2 linked regions of the Rhinolophus ferrumequinum genome follow. The protein of the gene in region 1 purifies or fractionates together with the protein of each later gene. This does not show direct contact. Links are inferred from orthologs where the notes say so. Each region holds a gene or a part of one and is shown on either strand. Other genes may lie near its edges.

Region 1 (9,906 bases):
GGCCGGTGACCGGTCTCCGGGTGGCCACGGAGACGCCTACCTGTCAGCGCGAGGGCCCTCCGGCCGCCTGCCTGTCGCTGTTGCAGCCTGCAAAGGAGTGGAAGCTCCGCAGGGACAGGAGGCGAGTTGCATAATGCCAGGCACTGCCCCTCATTGGCCTCCCGCCGGCGGAGCCACAGGCCCCGCCCCCGATTGGCTGGGGATCTCGTCCTGGCGCCTGATTGGCTACTGGCCCCCACTGAGGTCAGGGCTGTGTCACACACACGGGTGCACGTGGATCTGGGTGCTGGCACTGAGCTGAAGGGCCCCAGACACCACCGCCCAGCCAATGGGCGCAGGACGCCTTGTACAGTAAATACTGAAAGGGAGGGGAGGGGAAAAAAGGGGAGGTAAGCTGCCCTTCTTCCGGGAAAATGCCCGGGCCACAGTAGGTGCCTAAGAGATGTCTACTTCCTGAACTGACCAGCCTTGCAGAACAGGACACCTTGGCCTTCCTAGGGGTGGGGCAAAAAAATGCAGACCGTGAAAGATGAACCAAGCTGGATAATAATGGCTAGTCCTTGGGAGGAGGGGGACAGACAGAAAACTGGCCTGGCCTTTACTGGGTTCTCTGCCTCAAACTTGTCATCATAATAAAGCCCTTTTACCCGGCCCCTTCCTCTGTCACTTCAAATCCTGTTAACAGCTAGAAGGAGGGCAATTGAGGGCCTACGTGTGATGGAGTTGGGGGGAGGAGACAAACAATAGAAGGGACAGTAATGAGCCAGTGGGGGCTGTGAAGGGAAACAAGCAGGTGCTTCTGTGTTCAATCAGAGAAAAGGTCTCCGGGCAGGGGGGTGGGTGGGTGGTGGTGACTAGTGCTCCTCTCCAAAGGATGCAGCCACCCAGTTAAGGCTACCCCCAAAGTCGGAGGTGGGGGCTAAGGAACCAGGGCTACAGGGGAACAAAGGGGGTGGCTGAGAGAAAAGACCAACTGGGACCCTAGACAGAGAAAGGTGGGATGGCAAGGGCTTCAGATACCCACCACTAGGAAAAGAGAAACCCAAGGACATCATCTGTCTCCTTCACTATTCCCCAGCCCCCAGGACAGAACCTGACACATGGTAGGTGATTAATAAAAACGGTGATTTTCGTCCTTAACAAGGATAGATAGGGGAGAGAAAGGGGCTTCAGCAATGGAGAAGGGGCCGGAAATTATAGCCTTTTTTAAAAAAGGAGGAGCAGAATATTGAGTCCTAAAAAAAGAACAGGGGCCTGATATGGGGGACAAAATGCTAGGCTGGGCCCAGGGGAGCTGCAGTTACACAGACTTCTCCATCCAGGGCTGTGATGAGCAGTTCCTTCCAGGGCACCCTGGAGATGTGGGTGGCAAGTGAAGAGGCCCCCAAGCTCATGCTGACATAATCTGCTGTGGGTGCACTCCCTTCATTGTCACGTGGCCTATGCTTTCCTTAACAATGGTGTTTCCCGGTGGAGGGCCAGGGAGAAGGCTCTATGGAAAAGCTGGGGGTGGGTGGGGTTGTAAAATAACCTAGAAAAACCAAAGCAAGAAAACAGGAAACAAAGGATTCAGGAGCCCGGATTTTCAGTCTCCTCTCCCTGAAAATATACCCCCAACTCACATACTGTGGTCCCGTCCCTTGTCTCATTTTCAGACACCTCTTCTCTGGAAACATCATTTTTGTTCCTCCCCTGCTCTCCTCAGGGATTTAGATGTGATCTCCCCGGACACAGGCAGTCCTTGCTCTCCCACCTCCACCGCCTTATTTATTTCTTGCATGGACAAAAGGGCCCAGCGCTCCAGCAGCCCTCACCCGCTCCCAGGGCTCTGGTTGTCCTGCCTCACCGTCCCCACAGTAACCAGGCCCTGCTGCCGTCAATGGAGGAGAGGGGGCGGGAGACAGCGGTGACGTCAAAGCGCAGGAAGGGGGCGGGGCGAAGCCGCCGGGGAATGTGGGGCAGGGAGGTTGGAGAGACAGCGGTTTGGGAGGTGGCCAGCCTAAGAGGGCGGCAGCCAGCGCACTTAGGAACATCATGTTCTCTTGGCCGGTGGCCCAGGACATGCACCCAGGCTGGGCGCCACCCCCAACCCAACGACAGCCGTCCTGTCTCAACGCCAGGGATTCCTGGAGAGAGGATTAGAAGGGGTCCCCCTCCCCCGCCCTATGCCTGACTCTCTTCTCCAGACTCGCATCCGCCCTCCCCTCGGCTTGTTTCTACAGCTCCTGGCAATGGCTTTTCCCCTCTCCCAAATTGTACACATTTGCTGGCCCGATCCCAAAGAGACAGGGCGGGGAAGTTGGAGGCCCAGGTTCTGTAAGAGAACACGCACCTTTGCTCCTTTAGAGAGGCCCCCTTCAGAGCCTGAATCTCTTGTTACTATGGCAGCAGAGAGAGGGAGGAGGAGTAGGGAGAATGGTCTAGGATGAAGAAATCATACCGGGACAGAGCAAATGGCCCAGGCTGGGGCCTGGATCCTGGGGAGAGGGATAAAAGGGTGGAATGAGGGTTTGGGGATGGTGCCGGAAGACCAGAACCAGGAAAAAGGAAATGGGGAGGGAGTCACCAAAACTTGGCAGAAAAACCGGAGAATGTGAGAATAGTTCCCAACCAAAGCATTCACATAAATCTCTTGCCCTATCACTGTTGTTCTGTCATCCTACAGGCATTTTTTAGCTAAATAATTTTTAAAACATGACCCAGGCATTGTGCTAAGTAATTTATATACATTCTCTTATTTAACCACCAGAACAACCCTGTGAGATGGGTATTATTATCCCCATTCTACAAGGACTAAGGCTGATAAATTACTACACTTCACTAAATTGTCTTATAATACGTTCTCAGGCTCTTAAACAAATAGAACCCAGGGTTCAAATCTGAGCTTTTATGATGGGTTGTCATTCTGGCTTTTTAGCCTTCTGGAACCTGTGAGGTGTTACCCAGCACTGGGGAACCTCTACCTCTCAAATATCTAGCTGATTCTGAGTTTGGTACCTGGAACAGACTCCATCTCATCCCTCCTTTCCTTTGCGATATTCAGTGTGTACTCCCCACACACTTTGAATCATCATAGCCCCAGCTTTCACATGCTTTCGAAATCTTTGAGATCATCCTAGCAGCTACCAGCCCTAGGAACTCCACTTCTTCACTCTCCCACCCTACACCAGGTCCGTTTACCACCTGCCTGGGTGTTTGAGCACCCTGTTGGTTCCTCCTCACCTCCAGGGGCTCAGGAAGACATGTGCACAGCCAATCTGCACAACCCCAGCCTCCCTCTAAGGATCCAACACTTTTACTCCCAAGGATGGCTCCGAGGCCCAACCCCTCCGCTTTACACGTAAGACTTCCAGAGCCGTGATGTAACTGGCTCAGAGTCACACAAATCACTACATCAAACCTTTGGAATCCTCCCAACCTGTCCTACCAGTGCGTCCCTCCAGCCTCAGAACCCGTGCCTCTTTCAAGTGCTTAAGGCACATACCCAAACAACAGTTACGCACTGGAACGTCTTTCACCCGCTCTCCGGGTCTCCGTTCCAGTACCTCCTTGGTAGCTGGGGTCTCAGATCCCTCAGGTCGCTGAGGTCTTCCAAGCCCCTCCCCCCAGGCAGTCAGGAGTCCAGGTACCCCAGGGCGGTGAGGGATCTGATGTCAGTGGCTTCCGCCCCAGTCCCTATAGAGCTGAGTTCTCGGTCCCTATACTCCTCAACTATTAGGGCTCCCACCGATGGGATCACGCAGTCGCAGGATTCCACCCCTCAACACACACACACTCCATTAACACTCTTACAGACAGAACACACCACCGGAAAAACTCACACGGACCCCTGCTCCCCTCCCTCCAGCCCGGAGTACTCACCGCTCGGCTAGCATGCAGAACAGTCTCTTCTCAACTACGACCACAGAGACTTGGACTCGCTTCCTCCAGGAGCCTGCCCACCGACTGGGATGCCACGCCCCTCAAGCTTATTGGCCTAAGGGCGCCGATCCATGCCCCGCGCCGCGTGCGGCCGCCGGGCCGCAGCAGAGCCACCATTGGCGCCACCCGCCGCCGCCATCATCTCATTGGTCAAGATTGCCAACCGGCAGTGACAGACACACGTGAGGGAGGGGCTGTCCGGGCGCGTTATTGAAAGACTGACAGGAAGCCACGCCCCCATCCACTTCCAAAGTTCAGATTGGCTGTGGCAACATACCGAATGGCCTAGATCGGTGACTCAAACGCCAACCCAGCCCTCCGAACTTTCTCATAGGCTGAGGTCTCAGAGCTGTACAGGACACGTGCCGGCGGTCTCACGCGGCAACTTGTTTACCTAGAAGCTGGGGATTTTCCTTGACGACACTCCTACCCAAGGCTGCGGACTCTGCGCAGGCGCAGCGAATGTCACCTACAAGCATGCGCAGATGTCAGCAGCGGTGGCTTTGGTAGGGGTTTATGCTGAGACCCGGGTGAGCCCTACGGGAGTGACGAGAGCGCCTCCAGCCCTGGAAATTCTATCCTGGGTTCCTGAAGCTCCCCCAGGTTAGAAGGTGCATCCGGGTGAAGTGGTCTTCGGATCTCAGTGCCGCGTGAGGGTGAAGATGAAGATAATAGCAGGCTCCTATGAGTTTTTGTGGGCCAGGCCAGGCTCTTCTCACAGACATGGAGGCCCGCTCACTTACTACCCACTGCCTCACAAATGAGAGTGAGATCCAGAAAGGTTACATAATCCGTCTGGATTAACACACTAGTCAGTAATGGGGCCAACCCAGGTTCTAAGGCCTAGGAGAACCCTAAACCTGGAAAGTATTCAGTAGATGAAATGAGAAAGAGCTCTGAGCACTGACTGGAATACATTATAGTAAACCTCCAATAAATAGTGGACATTATAACTGTGTACCTAATTATAAGAATCATCTCTGCGAAATCAGACTCTCCAAGGAAGGGGCCTGAAAATCTAATTTTAAATGCATTTTTGGTAGTTCTTAGGAGCCCACAAGTTTGGGAAACACTGTCTAGGTTGCTTATACTCTTGAATCTTAATGCTGTAGCCCAGAGAAGTGTGTCCTCCAGAGCTCTCCTAGCACACTCATTGTTGAAGCACCTGGGGACAGGAATGCTAGGGTGCCACATCGGGGGCATGATGTATATATCATGGACTAGAGTTACCAGCAGGACAACAGAGTGCAGGGGTAGCAGGCCATCTATAGCCAGCTCCATACCACACTCAGCTGGGTCTTCCTGGGCCAATTTGTTCAGTAAGTATTTATTAACCCCTCCTGGACACAGCTGGCACTGTGTCGGGCACAAAGGGGAAGAGATGTTTCACAAAAGTTGGCCATTTACTTCAGGCAAAAGAATAAATGACCACAGGAGCGACTGCACAGAGTATGGGAGTTAAATCAAGGGGTAAAAGGGATCCAACAAACAGCAATAACATGCTTCCAGGCAAAGGAGAAGGGAGGGAAAACTGGGAAGCCTACACCTCAGGGTTCACCAGGGTGAGACATAGGTATCAGCTACATTTCCATTAACTACTCTTGGTGGGCCCCCCCCACGTGGCCACTTTGGGAATCACACTTCATCCATCCTGCCCAAGGTCAGGCCCTCTCCAGCAAAAGCTCAGTCCCTTCCCAATGTATCTCCTCAACCTTCCTGTTAAATCTGCAGACCCAATACTCTTCCCACTGGTTAAGAAAAGATCTTAGGACAGACACCACTTAGTTACTCATTACACATTTATTGTACATTTTCACAATCTGGATGCGCCACAGAATTGGGGGCATGGGGTGAGGGAAGGGGGGCAGGGGACACTGGGATAATATGGGGGGGTCTAGAGCACAACACCCCCACCCCCAGCATCTCTCCCTACCCTTTCACACCACAGCTTAGATCTCCCTGTTCCCCCTCCACAGACACCTTGAGTGTGGGGGAAAGAGTTTGGGGGGGGTCCCCTCTAGTGACAGTTTAAGGGACTGCACCCTTAAACCCCTAAAATTGTGCCATTTAAAAAGACATTAGACCCTTCCTCTATCACTTCACCTAAGGAGGAGACAGCTCTCTCTCTGGGCTGGACCACCATGGAGAGGGGCAAGAACCCCCATCTTTCAGCAAGTCCCGCACACACATTGGCAGTGACTAGTACCCACGCTCTGAATTCAGCGAGGGCAGTCAGAGGAGCTGGGCAGTGAAGGAGGCAACACCCCCCAAACTGAGGAGGGTTTTCAGTCCAACCCCCAGCAGGGGTGGGGCCAGAGGAGACTTCAGGCAGGAATTGGGGAGATTCTCTGCCCTGCTCCACTCCTCTCCAAGGCAGTGATGACCCCTCACACACTGGCAGCCACCTCCCAAAAGATATCAGATTATGGCCAACCCCCAACTCTCCTGGTGGGAGGAGGAGGGGCAGATCAGTCAGATGGGAGGGAGACCCCATGGGAATGTCAGTTGAGTGCCCCACATGAAAACTGGGGATCAGGAATGTGGGGAGAAACTCTAAGTGGCAGAATTATTGGTCCATCATAACACACTGAACTCCAAGACACTTATACACCAGCTGGAGGGAGGGAGAGGAGGGGACAAGAGGCTTGGAAAATGGGGGTAGGGGAGGCAAACTAGACTAGCGGGGCTAGGAGGGGATGATTCTGGGGGCCAGAGCAGCCTGGTTCCCCAAAAGCCCAGGCTCCCCACCACCTACAAGTAATGTCATGCAAATGAAAGTGTGACCAATGGGGACTAACTCCTCAGTAAAAAAAAAACAAAACAAAACAAAACAAAAAACAGACGGGTTGAAAAAACAAAGAGTGATGGAACAAAAAAGAAGGAAACCAAAAGGGATGTCAGTGTGCAAATGAATGCTAGTTAACATGCTGGAAACTCCCAGACCTTGGGATTCATAGGACCAAGTGGGGCCAGTCTCAGAGCCTCCCAAATGATGCACAGACGATGCACCTAGGGAGGCCTGGACAATTGCTTTTTGTCTTGTTTGTAGGGGGGGTGCGGGTATGGGGAAGGCCAGGGTGGAAGGAAGGGTCAGCTAAGTCCAAGGAAAGAAGGGAGGAAGAGGGACTATTGCATAGCAGATGCAAATGAAGGGACTTGGGGCTGGTAAGGAAAAGAGGGAACGGGAAGGAGGGAAAGAGGAAGGACGGGAACCTCAGGAAGGGGTGTTAAGGACAACCGGAAAAATCTTCTAGTAATAAAACTACAAACAGACCAAATATATATAATATTATATATGTATAAATAACAGCTGGCTATTTACAGGGGGGCACACACACAGACACACACGGATGGGGGGCTGGAAGATATGGCTGAGAGGTGGAGGAGCAGCTGGGAATGGGGGGGAGAGGCCCTTCTCTGGGCAGGGCAGGCTCCTCGGGGGTTTAAGAGCTGAAGTAAACTGTAGAGCGGGAAAGAAGGATGAAGGGGGAGAGGGGAGAAAGAGAGAGAAAGCAGTGTGTCAGGCCTGGCCCTGCTCCCATCCTCCCCACTCCCCAGCTGACTGACATCCCTTCCCCTCTGGGCCTTGGGTTCTCCCCTGTAAAGCAAAGGGGTTGGACAGGAGGTTCCAAGGTCTCTTCAACCCCATGGTATGGCCTTAGGGCCACAGACCCCAAATCCTCTGGGCCTCTGAGACCACAAGCTCTTAAATAATTCGGTGGTTGGCTTCCTAGTCATATATCAAGCCTATGGGCCTTTCCTGTTCTCCCACTCCCCAATTTCAGGGTTCTCAGGCCCAAAGAGTCCTCAAGGGAGTAGTGGGGATCCACTAGCTCTCGTTTCCAAAAATCGAAACAGAATTGCCCAGAACCAGGCAAAATGCAGGCTGAACAAAATCAAGGTGTGGAGCTCTAGATGAATCAGAACTGCCACTGGCAGCTATATATGCTTTTTGATGAATAGTAAAAACTAGGTTAATGACCTTCAGAACCCCGAACTCATAGGGAAACCTCTCCAAAGAAAGGGCCCCAGCCATTCCTGCCCTACTCACCGATGATGATGATGAGGATGATGGCGCAAATCACTCCCAAGATGATCATCATCTGTGGGTGACAGGAGAGGGGTCAGGGGACCGACCACAAACTCCCCATTCACCCACCAGTCCTCCTATCTGCCCTCCCACGTGCCTCCACCATTACCTTGAGGTTTTTCCACCAGTATTTGCGCTTGAGCTTGGCTGCACTTGTTTCAAACTGGGAGGCCCCCGCCTGGAGTGCATCTGCACGGTCGTCCAGTTCTGACAGTTTCTGGTCCCGCTCCAGGACCTTGTCCACGTTCACCCTCATGATGTCCACCACCTGGAGGAGGGGTCCACGAGGCAGGGGGTATGCCAAGGCCCGCCTCAATGAGGGCACTCCTCGACCACCATGCCCACATATGGAACATGCACCCCGATGTCGCCAGGCTAACATGCCAAGGACACACACAGAACAAGCCTAGCACACCTGGGGACATGCAAGAAGTACACATCAGGGGCATGCTGATAGCCAGACATCTCAGATGTCATAGCAGCACCCTCTATTTATCCAGTTTCAAGTAGCCTGCCCGTCACCAGAGCACACCTGCCCAGGCTGAAACACCCTAGGACTAGCAAGCTAACACTCCAAGGCCCTTACAAGTGCATGCTTACAGGGATGGGGCATGGTATGTCTTTGTCCCAAACCTCATAAACGTGAACTACCATCACCCCCAGCCCAAGATGGACCCCCCAACACTGGTTTGCCAACCCTCAGTGCCCTTCCCACCGTCTTTGGATCCCCCCAGCCCACTCCACTCACCTCATCCACCTGGGCCTGGGTCTGCTGCAGTCTTCTATTACTGGTGAGGTTTGGAGGGGGCCCAGGAGGGCCTCCCTCCCCAGCCGGGGCGGCAGGGGGGGCGGTGGCAGCGGTAGCCGACCTGAGGGGCAGGGACGGATTCAGACCCAGGGCCTGGAGCCTTCGGCCCCGCAGCCAGGACTCCGCCCATCCGCCTGTCCATCCAACCGTCCCTCCCTTCCTCCTTTTCGAGAGGGAAGCCAGCCGATGGGAGCCCTGGATTCCGTCTGGCCCCGCCGCCGAAGAGCTGCATGACCTTGAGTGGGGCCCCTTCCCCCCTCCAGGCCTCAGTTTCCCCGCCTGTCAAATGAGGGCGACCTCACAGACTTGGTCCAGGGTCGACCCGAAATGACCGGCGGCAGCGATGACAGGGGCGGGGCGGGCGGACGCCGGGTCCACTTCCTCCGGCGGCCACCGCCCGCGCGGCCAGCCCGGGTGGCGGGGCTCTCCCGCTGCCCGCGCGCAGTCACGGGCGCCGGCCTGGCCTCGGGGAGCGAGGGACGCGGGCCGAACCCCGGGCCCCGGCCCCAGGGCGGCAGCCGGGCGCAGGCCAGCCCGAGGCGGGCAAGGGCGACCGACTCACATGGCGGGGGCAGCGGGTGCAGGACTTGGCAGCTGCAAGAATGGCGGCTCGCGCTGGCTCCGACTGGCGCTGGCTACCGGGGACGGGAAGATGGCGGCTGCACGTCACCCACATCCGGGCACTGCGGGCGGGGGCGGGGGCGGGGCGCAGTGGCGACTGGTACGAGCCGGGCCGTGGGGGCGGGGCGCGGCAGGCCGCGGGGCGTGCCCGCTGAGCCTCTGCACCTTCCGCAGCCTGACTCCTGCGGCTTCCGTGCGCCCGCTGCTTTCCCACCCTGCTAGACCAGAGCCCGCACAGCCATCCCCACGCCTCTGCCACTCGCACCCCACGGCACCTCTCACCCCCAAACCACGTCCTCCCTCCTATAGTGAAACTTCATTCAGTCTGCACTCTACACAGCTCAAGGTTTCACCCTTCACCCAACTCCCAACGCCTGGTAACCCGCCTTCAGCCCTTGGCGTGGGCTGGAGGTGGAAAATCAGAAAAGGCAGGTGTCGATCCCGAAACAATGCGAATAGCTGGGAC
Region 2 (10,627 bases), about 44 Mb from region 1:
AGCATTTCTTCAGTGTCTGTTTACACTAAGGTGTTCCATCTCCCCAACAACCTCAACTTGTGAGCAGCTCGGAGCCCCAGGCAGACAGGAGTTCCCTCCAGAGGCAGGTGGGAGCCCATTTCAGATAGAAGTCAGTGCTGGTCCTAGGAAAACAAACTATGTTTTCAATTGACAGACAAGGCAGATGGTAAAGCCACTGACCCTAACCCCAAGCCTGACCCTGGGACAGGGAGGGAACTCCCACTGAGGAGTGACAACCACAAAGAAACAGGGAAAGGCCTCACAGCAGCAGGGCAAAGGCCACCTTCAGGACAACTGTTGACAGGGCAGCTGACCAGTGTCATGACCTCTCAGCTTAAGCCACCACCCTAAAGAACGCAGGCAGGTGACCAGACTGCAGTGAGTGTAGGTGATTGCTTTCCCCTCCTGATCAGCCAGCTGGCCAGCCAGCCAGCACTTTGAAACCCCTACTGTGTGTCCGACACCCCGCTGGGTGCCACTGAAGAGCAATGACAGTTGGCGAGGGGAAACCATGACAATCAGGTATGAAGGGGTTTCTAAGCTTTAGCTCCCAGAAAAGGGGAATGTGCACATTATGAAGAAAGACCACGGTCTACCCCGGGGACAGGCAGACAGGCAAGGCTGTCGTCTGATAAACTGAAGGAGCGTCAGGATCAAGTACAAATGCCAACAGCTGGCAGGAAGAAAACCTCCATTCTGAGCAATCAGGAATGAGGGGGTCCAAAGACCCAGCCGACAGACACAGACGAGAATAGAGCTCCGTGAGAACGGGGGGGGGGGGGGGGGGGGGGAGGCGCACACTGCCCCTCAGACCTCAGCTCCTCACAGGCACCCCTTGAACCTGGCTGCACTTCAGAATAGCCCCTACGCTGACCACGGCACTGCCACACAGCCTGGGCTCCCGCACACCCCAGCTTCCTAGTCACACTGGGGTTTGGAACACGGGTCCACGTTAAGAACACTGGCTCTCCCTTGGTTTTTGAACATTATCAAACGTATGAGACGCACACTGCCACCAAAGCGAAACGACTTCGGGGACCCACTGCCTTTTGCAAGACACCTCACCTCCAGCCACCAGGGGCTAAAGCTTGCGGGAAGCTCAAGCTGAGGGAGGCCGGAGAGTGAGAAGCTTCGCCTCACGCCCACCTGCAATTCCTTCTGCCTAAGTGTGTGCTGCACGCATGCACACAGGACGTGAGCACTGAGGCCTCCCCATCCAGCCCTGCCCAGGAGCCTTCAGGACCGGTCAAGCTTAGGGGGAGGCAGACTGAGGTTCAAGACTATACGTTTTGGGGTCCACGGTGGCCCCAGTCCAAGTACTTTCTGAAGCCCATGCATGGGAGAATCAGACCCGAGATACTGCCCCCCTTTGAAGGGGCAATTTGGGGAACGATTGGAGTGACCTGGCAGGGCCCAGTGCTGCATGCCCGAGTCAGCCTGCAGGACACCAGGAGACAGGCCAGCACTGGGCCTTCCTGATCCACGAGGCGCGCAGCAAGCTGGAGGCCAGCCTTCCCTCCACGAACATACCGATTCCCACGAGGAGGACTCAATTCCTTAAGTGATGCCTAATTAGAGGCCTAAACAAACAGGAAAAAACTACAGTACAAATAACGCAATCCATCCCCTGCTCTTTGGACCTGTCATCTTTGACCCTTAACTACAGTACACAGTGAGCTGCCTCAGACCCACCTTTTCCAGCCACATCTCAAACTAGCAAGGTCACTTCACATTTTCAGTGGGTAACTTGCAGCCTGAAAGGACCCCCATGTGGGCCAAGAGCCAATGCTGAGGGAAGACGCCTGGTTATGCTCCGTCCCATACAATACCTCCACGTGCACCCCGACGGTGGGCTGTGTGGGTGCTCAGGAGGGCGTGAGAGCCACCGTCCATCCATCTTAGAGCACAGGGACAGAGACCGAGGACAGACCCCTCGGGCCCGGTCAACTGGACCTGTAGCAGGTGCGCCCACATGGCTGAGGCCCAAAGGACGCCGTGGTGAACGGGCAGGTGGGTCCCCACCGAGCTCCCACTCCCGATGAGACAGTTTACATCGTGTGACTGACCTGGTGACAACTGGTCCACAATGCAATCGTCCAAACCCAGCTTCGGAAAGCACAGAGCTGTCTGGGAAGTCTGACCAGAGGACAAAAAATTTCAAGGCATCTACTTTCTGATGCCTGTGCAAGGGTGACTAACGGACTGGCTTTTCAGCACAGCTCCTAGATCGTAAGTTAAAACTTTTGCCAAAATCTATTGTTCTATAAATAAGGCAAACAGCTTGCACTTACCCGGCCCAAAACGCTGCTGAGAACGCATTCGGCTGACTACTGCATATAAATATTTAAATAGAAGAATCCCAGTGTCTCCAAAGTGTATTTTACTCAGCAGGACAGTAGGCACAAATGTGGCATGTGACGGGGGTACTCTGCAGGGCACCGAGGCACCAGAAGCAGTGATGAACTTCCCCAGCGCACGTGTGGGCCCCTCTGAAGGCCCTGCGTCCTCTCCAGGTGACAAGACAGAAGGACGTGCGTGCGGTGAGCGCACACACCTGGGCTCAGGTGCAGGCACCACCAGAAATACCGACAAGGGAAGTACTCCCGACCCTCCCTGACAGGCACAGCGACCAGAGGGAAACAGCAGAGCGGGCTGCCCACCGCGGGGCCTGTGAATCCCCAACGTGCCAGGGTGGTCCCTCTGCACACCGGTCGCGGTCGCGAGCCGGGCTGGACGGTCCCAATCCGGGGGTGGGGGCATAACTGACGGGCGATTCCCGAGAAACGCAGACACCTTCTTTCTAAACGTCCAACTGTGGGATTCGAGCCTCCTCTTATTCCACACGTGCACGTGCGCGTCCTTTCGAGGGAAACCTAAGCCAACCCAGAACATTCGAACACTAACACGGCTCTCAAATCTATATTGACAATTTCACAGCCCAAGGGACAAGCGCGGAGGGACAGCGGGTCGCGTCCGCGCGGACCGGGTCTCCAGCCCCGTCAACGTCTCCTCTTTAACCGGCGCCCAGTCGGGGCTCGGATGCGCAACACGTCCGCGGCACCGCTCGCCCGGCCGACGCCCGCCGGGGCCGCTCAGCCGGGGCTGCCTGGTCGCGAAGGGCACCGAGGGGCGCGGGAGCCTCGCCCGGCCGGTCCCGCCCGCCCCGCCCCGCCCAGCCCACCGCACGCGCGCAGGACGCGGGGGCCGCACACCGCCCGACGGCGTTTGTCCGTCTGCGGGTCACCGGCGCCGACGCCGGGCAGCGGGGGCAGCGGGGGCCTCGGGCCGCGGCCCGGCCACTGCCCGGTGGCGGCGCCGGGCGCACGTTGGGGCAGGTGCCCTCGGGCCGGGCGGCGCGGGCCGCGGCTCGGGAAGGCCACAGGGTCCCCTGGAAGCCGCGGGGTCCCGACAGGAGCGGGTCCCGGGGCGGGGCCGGGGTCAGCGGCCGGGGGCGGGGTCCCGGGCGGGCGCCGGGCTGGGGGCGGCCCCGGCCCGGGGGAGGGGCGCCTCACCAAGGTAGATGTCTCCGAAGGAGCCGCTGCCGATCTTCCGGCCCAGCCGGTACCTGTTCCCGACTCTGAGCTCCATGGCGGCGGCGGCGGGCCCGGCTCGCTCCTACCCTCCCGGCCGCTTCCTGGGTCTGAGCTCGGGGAGGCGGCGCCGCTGCTGCCGCTACTGCGGGTCCGGCTGCCGGCTCCGCCCCCCTCACGGCCCCGCTTTCACCATCGCTTTCCGGCCGCCCCGCCGTTCCCAGCGCCTCAATAAGGGGCGGATGGGACAGTCCGAGCGCCGCCGCCCCTGCTCCGGCCCCCTCCGGCCCCGCTCGCCCTCTCCCCGTCGCGGATGGACTCGGATATTCCGGGCCTAAATCCCCCTTCAGCTGCCTGAAGGAGCCGCCGCCATCGCGCTGTGACGTCACTTCCCTTAGCAACCCGGCGGGCGGGGCCGCGCTGCCGGGGGCGGGGCTGCGCTGCCCAGGGGGCGGGGCGAGCGGGCTCCGGCGTCCTTGCGAACCACCGACGCCGGGGCCAGCCCCTTATTCTCTGTGGCCCGAAGTCCCCGTCGCAGGTCTGCAGCTCCCACCCGGCCGCTTCCCGTGTGCAGCCTCCACGTTTGCCCCCGCGGGTGTCTGGGAAGCCAGCGGCTCCTGGCGACAGACCCGGGACAGGCCCGCAGGCAGCGCCCTCGCACTCAAAAGGAGGAGGGCCTTCCGCCCTGGGTCGGCGCCGGGAGGGAGTGACACTGGCCGGGTCACAGGGGACAGAGGTGTGCACGGCCCTTTTGGCAGCTCGGGACTTAGCTACTGTGCAGTCCAGGGCTTGCAGCACGGCCTGCCACTGCCCCTGACGTCCCGTCCTACACACTCAAACCTAGGGCGGAAGGACGGAGAGACACGTCCTCGGGTCTGGCGTCAGGCCTGAAGGGTGAAGGTGAAGGTGAAGCTACCAGGGCTTCAAAGGGTGAGGCCCGGACAGTCCGCCTCTCCAGGCCCATCCGCCTGGAGACTTAGTCAGCATTGTTATCTAATCTGTGTGCGGTCTGAAAGTTCTTCCTTGCAAAAGAAAGCTGGAACGTTGAAGTTCAGGCTGATCTGGACTCCACTCCAGTCACTGGGAAGGGAGTCTGGGAAAGGCCGCCAAATTGAGAAGAAAGGGCTTCCATATGGACACGTCTCTAGGCCTATCCTCAACCCCGGCTAAAGTGGCAACGGTGAAACAGGCTGTTAACATATATGTTTGGACATCTAGCAAACACACTCCCGTGTGCACAGAGGTGTGGGCTAGAGTAGCCGGAGCAGATGGTCAGAACCAGGCCCTTCCTGTGGCACAGGCAGCCTCAGGAGAGCAGCCTTTGTCGGAAAATGTTTGGAGGTCCGGTTGGTGAGGCCGGCATCAATTCCTGAGCAATCAGTCCGTGGTGGACTGGTGGGCAATCGGGAATGGCTCCGTCCCTGCCCAGTGGTTGCCCAGTTTTTCAGTCTTAGGGCTGGGGGTGGGTTTTGACAAACTAGTAAAATAGCCATGGTGGCAGAACTGATGATGGGCAGTGCCTGCTTCACCCACCGGAGAAAGCCACAAGTGCAAACTGGAACCAGAAAGGGGCCTGGAGCCCGCTCCCTGGACATAATGGACCACTCCCTGAGCTGCCCCGGCTGATTGATGGCCTGCAGTCCCCTCCTGGGGCCTCAGTGTCCTGTCTCAGAAAGAAGTGGCAGCTCTTTGGACCACCCCAGGCCCCAGGTTTCTGCCTGCTTCACCTGTTTATTCACAAACTTGGTCAGGATAATCAGCCAACACGTAATCAGTAACATGAGCTCTCCAGAACATCTTGTGACTCCCCATGACTTCAACAAGAAGTTAAACTACATTGTCTGATCAGAGCTCGTCCCCAATGACAGGTCTCACTGCCTCCCAGCCTACTGTCCACAGGCTGCTGTCCACAGCATGGCTATAAAGATGGTTCTAGAGCTCACATCCCATGCAAGCCCTGCCTGCTTAAAACCGACCCAAGTCGAACCTTCGTACTCCTGGAGGGAATGTAAAACAATGCAGCCACTTTGGAAGCCAGTGTGGGGTTCCTCAAGAGATAAAGGCAGAGTTACCATGTGACCCAGAAGCTCCACTCCCAGGTCGGTACCCAAGAGAACTGAAGATATCTGTCCACAGAGAAATGTATGCACAAATGTTCAGAGCAGCGTTGTTTTATTTATCACATGTAAGCAACTTTTTACAGCCCATATATCCATAATGAATGAATGGATAAACCCTATGTAGTTTATCCTATGTGGAGTAATTATCACACAACCATGTAAAGAAAGAAGCTCTGACACCTGCTACAATGTGGATGGACCCTGAAACACTGAAGAAGCCGGGTTCAAGGGGCAACATGCTGTATGATTCTGTTTACATGAAGTGTCCAGAACGGACAAATCCACAGACCAGGAAGCGGATTAGGGCTGGGGAGCGGGCTGGGGGGAGACTGCTGGTGGGCCTGGGGATCCTCTTTGGGGAGGACCAGCGCATTTCAGAACTAGGGAGCAGACAAGTATACAACATCATGAATGGACACAAAGCCACTGACCTGTACACTTTCAAACAGTTAAAATGGTGAATTTTATGTTAATTTTATCTGAATTGAAAAAAAAGCATGGGTCAGCCTCTGGGGACTGAACCCAGCTTCCGTGCTAAGATTTTGGAGGGTCCTCACCATCCCACAGGAATGATAACAGTTCCCTGAATGCGTCAATGTCTCTGCTCAGGGCCCCTGCAAATGCTGCACCTGTAATGTGTTTCCCCCTCTCCTCCCACAGACACACACACCTTTGTTCAGCTAACTTCCCGGTCTTCCCAGCCCCATGGTTGCTACAATGGAGACAGCCCAGCCTGGACTGAACAGGAGGGGAGGAGCCACTACCTTTAAAGGCAGTGACTGAGAGTCTGGGCTGGGGTGGAGGTCAGGTGCCCAAGTTTCAGTTCCCGCTCTGCCTCCAGCTCTGCACCCTTGTGCTGGTAACTCAACCTCTCTGTGCCTCTGTGCTCTCATCTGTGAAATAGGAATAACATCATCGAACCCTAGAGCTGTGGAGAAGGGTGAGAGGGTTACCACGGGCACAGTTCAGAACAGGGCCTGGAAACAACTGCTGTATAAATATTAGCTGTTTATATAACTACTGTTTACTTGGAAAAGGAGCCGTCACGCAGGCAGCAGCAGTGATGTTTGCCACCAGAGCAGCTGATGGTGCCGACTGGACAGTGGCTTCCTACTAAGACCCCCCGGCGAGGCAGGACCTGTGCCCACTCCTCACCCGCAGGCCGATGCCGATGCCCGACGGGACCAGCACTAACGATTATCCCCATTTAATGAACACCTGCCCACGGAGTTCCGGCCTAGGGAAGCCAACCATCACAAAGGGAATAGTGATTGCCAACTGGGCCAGGACTATGGAGGACCAGACGGGTTGCAGGCCACACCACACGCGGGAACCAGGCTGTAGTTCGCAGCTTCCAGCAGCTTCCATAGGGAGGTGACCGTCCCTGAGATCTGAAGGAGGAATTACCTTGGTCTGGGGGAGGGGGCTCACAGGGAGGGCGCGCAGAGGCTCACAAGCAACTTCCCAGCAGCAGCCAGAGCACAGGCAAGGCTGACAGAGGCCTTTCGGGGACAGAGTCCCAAGGAGCAGTTTCCAGGCTCTCGGCCTCACGTGGAAAGGTGCTGGCTCAGGTAGTAGATGGCCGTCCGCTGTGGCTGGGTGGCCATCAGCTGTTACCGGTTAGCCCTTAGCCACTGATATAAGTGCCGGGGCTGCGTTGGGGGGTTGGGGGGTTGGCAGAGAAGCGGATGGCGGGTTGTGGATCGTGTGGCTCCTGCTTCCTGTGTCTCCAACCCAGCCGCCAGCGAGACTATAGTGGTGTGAACCCCCATCCATGGCTCCGTGGGTGTTCCTTTTTGGCCTCACCATGTCCTGTGTTCTTCTGTGGGGAGTGGGAGCTGAGACCCCGCATGACAGGCCTCATGAAGGGGGGTGTCAGGGTTGGCTAGGATTCTAGCGCTGACAAGTGTTTGCTCTAGAGGCAGCCACTAGCCACACATGGCTATTAAATTAATTAAAATGAACTAAAAGTAAAAATCCAGTTCCTCAGCCTTGGTAGCCATGGTCCAAATGCTCAGTGGCACGGGGATCGGACAGCACAGCTCAGAGCATTTCCATCGTCCCCAGAAAGCTCGCTTGGGCCGCTGGGACCAGGGCTCTCAGCTGGGGTGGGGGTGGGGCGACATGTGGCAGTGTCCCATTGTCACAATCGGGGGATTGCTGGCACATCAGACCTGGAGGTCAGGGATGCAGTGCACAGGGTGGAGACCCCGCCCTAGAACGAGCCCAGTGCCTGATTGCTGCTCTGCCCACTGGATGGAGGCCTCGCTGAGCCTGACTCTGGGTCGAGTGACCCAGCCCTGGTCAACCCCAAGCATGTTCTGTCAGGAGGCCTCTGGAGGGGCGTCCTGGCGCTGATGCAGGAGTTGAGGGTTCCGGGGTCAAGTCAGGGCAAGTTTGGGATGCTCTCCAATGGGGCTCACCCACAGGCCTGGGAGTGGGGGGCGGGCAGTGCTGTGCAGGCCAGCACTGTGATGGGGTTAGGAGGTGCGGCCTTTGGCAGTGGCGATGGCATTAGTGCCCTTATAAGAAGAGGCCTGAGAGCGAGCCCCCTGCCACACGAGGACAGTCAGGAAGCGGCCCTCCCAACACACACCAGGGCTGCTGGCTCCGTGATCTTGGATTTCATTTCCAGGACCTTGAAAGATAAATGGCTGTTACTGCAGTCACCCAGTCTATGGTATTTTGTTATAGCAACCTGGAGTATTTACCCAACTGAGTTATAAACCTGCACCCACACAAAAACCTTCCTGAGAATATTTATGGCAGGTTAGTTCATAATTGCCCCAAACTGGATGTAACCAAGATATCCTTCAGTAGATGAATGGATAAACCAACCGAAACATTCAGACATCTGGCTATTATTCAGCACTAAAGCAGTCAACTATCAAGCCACAAAAGGCACAGATGAATTAAGTGCATATTGCTAAGTGAAGGAAGCCAGCATGTAACGGCTACATGTGTATGATTCCCTTTACATGCTAAACTGGACCAAGCAAAACTGTGGAGGCAGTGAGGAGAGCAGTGGTGCTGGGGTGTAGGGGGGTGTTTGGGCCGGGAGACGCTGTGTGGGGCTGCAATGCTGGACTCATGAAACTACATATTTGTTAAAATCCACAGACTGTACAGCAGAAAGAATGAGCCTTCATGGATTTAATCATGCAAATTATAAAGAATAAATAAATCAAATAAATGCAAATGTAAAAGTATTACTTGGGAACTGGGGGTCTGAGGCTGGAATGACAAAAGAACATGAAAGCTACTCCCTGAGCGGAGAGTGGGTGCTAACCCAGGTCACGCTGGAAGGGAGTGGGGTCTGTGACACTGAAAGCAAAGGGAACCCCCCCATAGACCTACCCAGGTTGGTGACGTTTCCCACGGGGTACGCACTAATGATTGTGACACCACGGACGTGAACACTGGAACTGAACCACTGAATACACGGGTAGTGGGTTTCTCACTGTTGGAGTGGGAGTTTACAGGTGAGCAAAGGAAAAAGGCTGGAATGATCCATGAGGTAACAGGTTAGAGGCATCAGTAGCAACTCATGCTTAATATGGCCACTCATGAAAAATTGTAGACACACGTGTGTGTGTACAGCTGAGAAGCAGCGGCTCAAAGTAGAAACAAGCACACCCAGCACCATCTCTCGTTTGGTCACTCACACCAGTCTCCAAGGAACCAGGGCTACCTGGGGAAATGGTGGATTTGAGGACAGGGCAGAGAATTTAAACAACTTCATAGGTGGAGCCCTAACCTCAATGTGACTGTGTTTGGAGATGGGGGTGCCTTTAAGGAAGTAATTAAGGTTAAATGAGGTCATAAGGGTGGGGCCCTGATCCTAGGGAACTGGTGTCCTTAGGAGACATCAGGAGTGAGCGTAGAGGACAGGCCGTATGAGGACACAGGGAGGAGGCGCTGTCTACAGGCCATTGAGAGAGGCATACTGGTCGGTGCCTTGACCTTGGACGTCCAGCCTCCAGAACTTTGAGGAGTAAATGTCCATTGTTTAAGCCACCCAGTCCGTGATGCTTTGCTGTGGCATCCCTGGCTGATTCACACAGCAAGAAAGTAAAGACGTGCTCAAAAACTCTACCAAACAACAATCTGCAACTAGGGCTCCCCCGGTGGCTCAAGCTGCAACAATTGGAACAAAAGAAATAAGTGTTGGATTAAAACACAAAGTATAAAAATAGACATCCATAGGTCCAAACTGACGCAGAAACGATGGATGAATAAAAGGGGAGAAGAGGCACATCTCATGTAGAAGAATCCCAAGTAATGTGTGTAGGTGCTCTGCCCTCGGGGAGGGAGAGCACACCCCCCACCCCTGAAGTGTGGGGGCCGTAGTGACGTCCTCCCAAAGGGCACGGGAGAGAGGATACGCCTGGCAAACACCTCAGCCAGGGGACCAAGGTCACAGCAGCACTCACGAGTCACGTTGAGAGCACGGACTCTAAAGTCACATGATAAGAAGGGCACTTTGCCTCCGTGGTCTTCCTCCCCCAAGCGCCCAAGGCCAGACTAACCGTGAGAGACACGTCAGACAAATCCCAGCAGAGGGACAGTCTCCAGAAGCCCCCCAGCACTCTCAGAACTGCCAAGGTCACCCAGAACAAGGGGCTTCTGAGAGACGTCCCAGCCCAGGGGAGCCTGCGGAGACGTGAGGACTAAATGTCATGTGGGATCCTGGAGCAGAAAAGGGACAATAAGTTAAAAACTAAGGAAAAAAGTGTGGACTTTAGTTGGTAACAATATTAAAATATCAACATTGGCTCATGAATTCTGACCAATGCACCGCACTTGTGTAAGACGTCAAGACGTCGGTAAGACCCTGGGTGCTGGGTGTGTGGAGACTCTGTGTACTAGCTTTGCCACTTTTCTGTAAATCTAAAATTGTTCTAAAATAAGTTTATTTAAAAAGTATGTATTTTTTTTTCTGTAGGCTCCTGATTG

Evidence for each region. The genes of interacting proteins can lie anywhere in the genome.
Region 2: the proteins of PER1 (region 1) and CSNK1D purify together in Homo sapiens (affinity purification with mass spectrometry; 4 studies listed by BioGRID and IntAct, counting the BioPlex papers as one, with this or other methods). This does not show direct contact. The link is inferred for Rhinolophus ferrumequinum from reciprocal best matches to the Homo sapiens genes PER1 and CSNK1D.

Annotation. Positions count from the first base shown.
Region 1 is NC_046304.1:10,830,927-10,840,832, reverse strand, and holds the start of PER1 (period circadian protein homolog 1), read right to left. Parts: upstream 4,000-9,906; 5' UTR 3,862-3,999; intron 735-3,861; exon of another isoform or gene 41-734; intron 1-40. Other genes in the region: VAMP2 (vesicle-associated membrane protein 2), read right to left, coding at 7,365-7,381, 7,973-8,024, 8,121-8,279, 8,760-8,880, 9,382-9,383. UniProt on the Homo sapiens protein: Transcriptional repressor which forms a core component of the circadian clock.
Region 2 is NC_046304.1:54,976,566-54,987,192, forward strand, and holds the start of CSNK1D (casein kinase I), read right to left. Parts: upstream 3,928-10,627; 5' UTR 3,610-3,927; coding exon 3,534-3,609; intron 1-3,533. UniProt on the Homo sapiens protein: Essential serine/threonine-protein kinase that regulates diverse cellular growth and survival processes including Wnt signaling, DNA repair and circadian rhythms. It can phosphorylate a large number of proteins.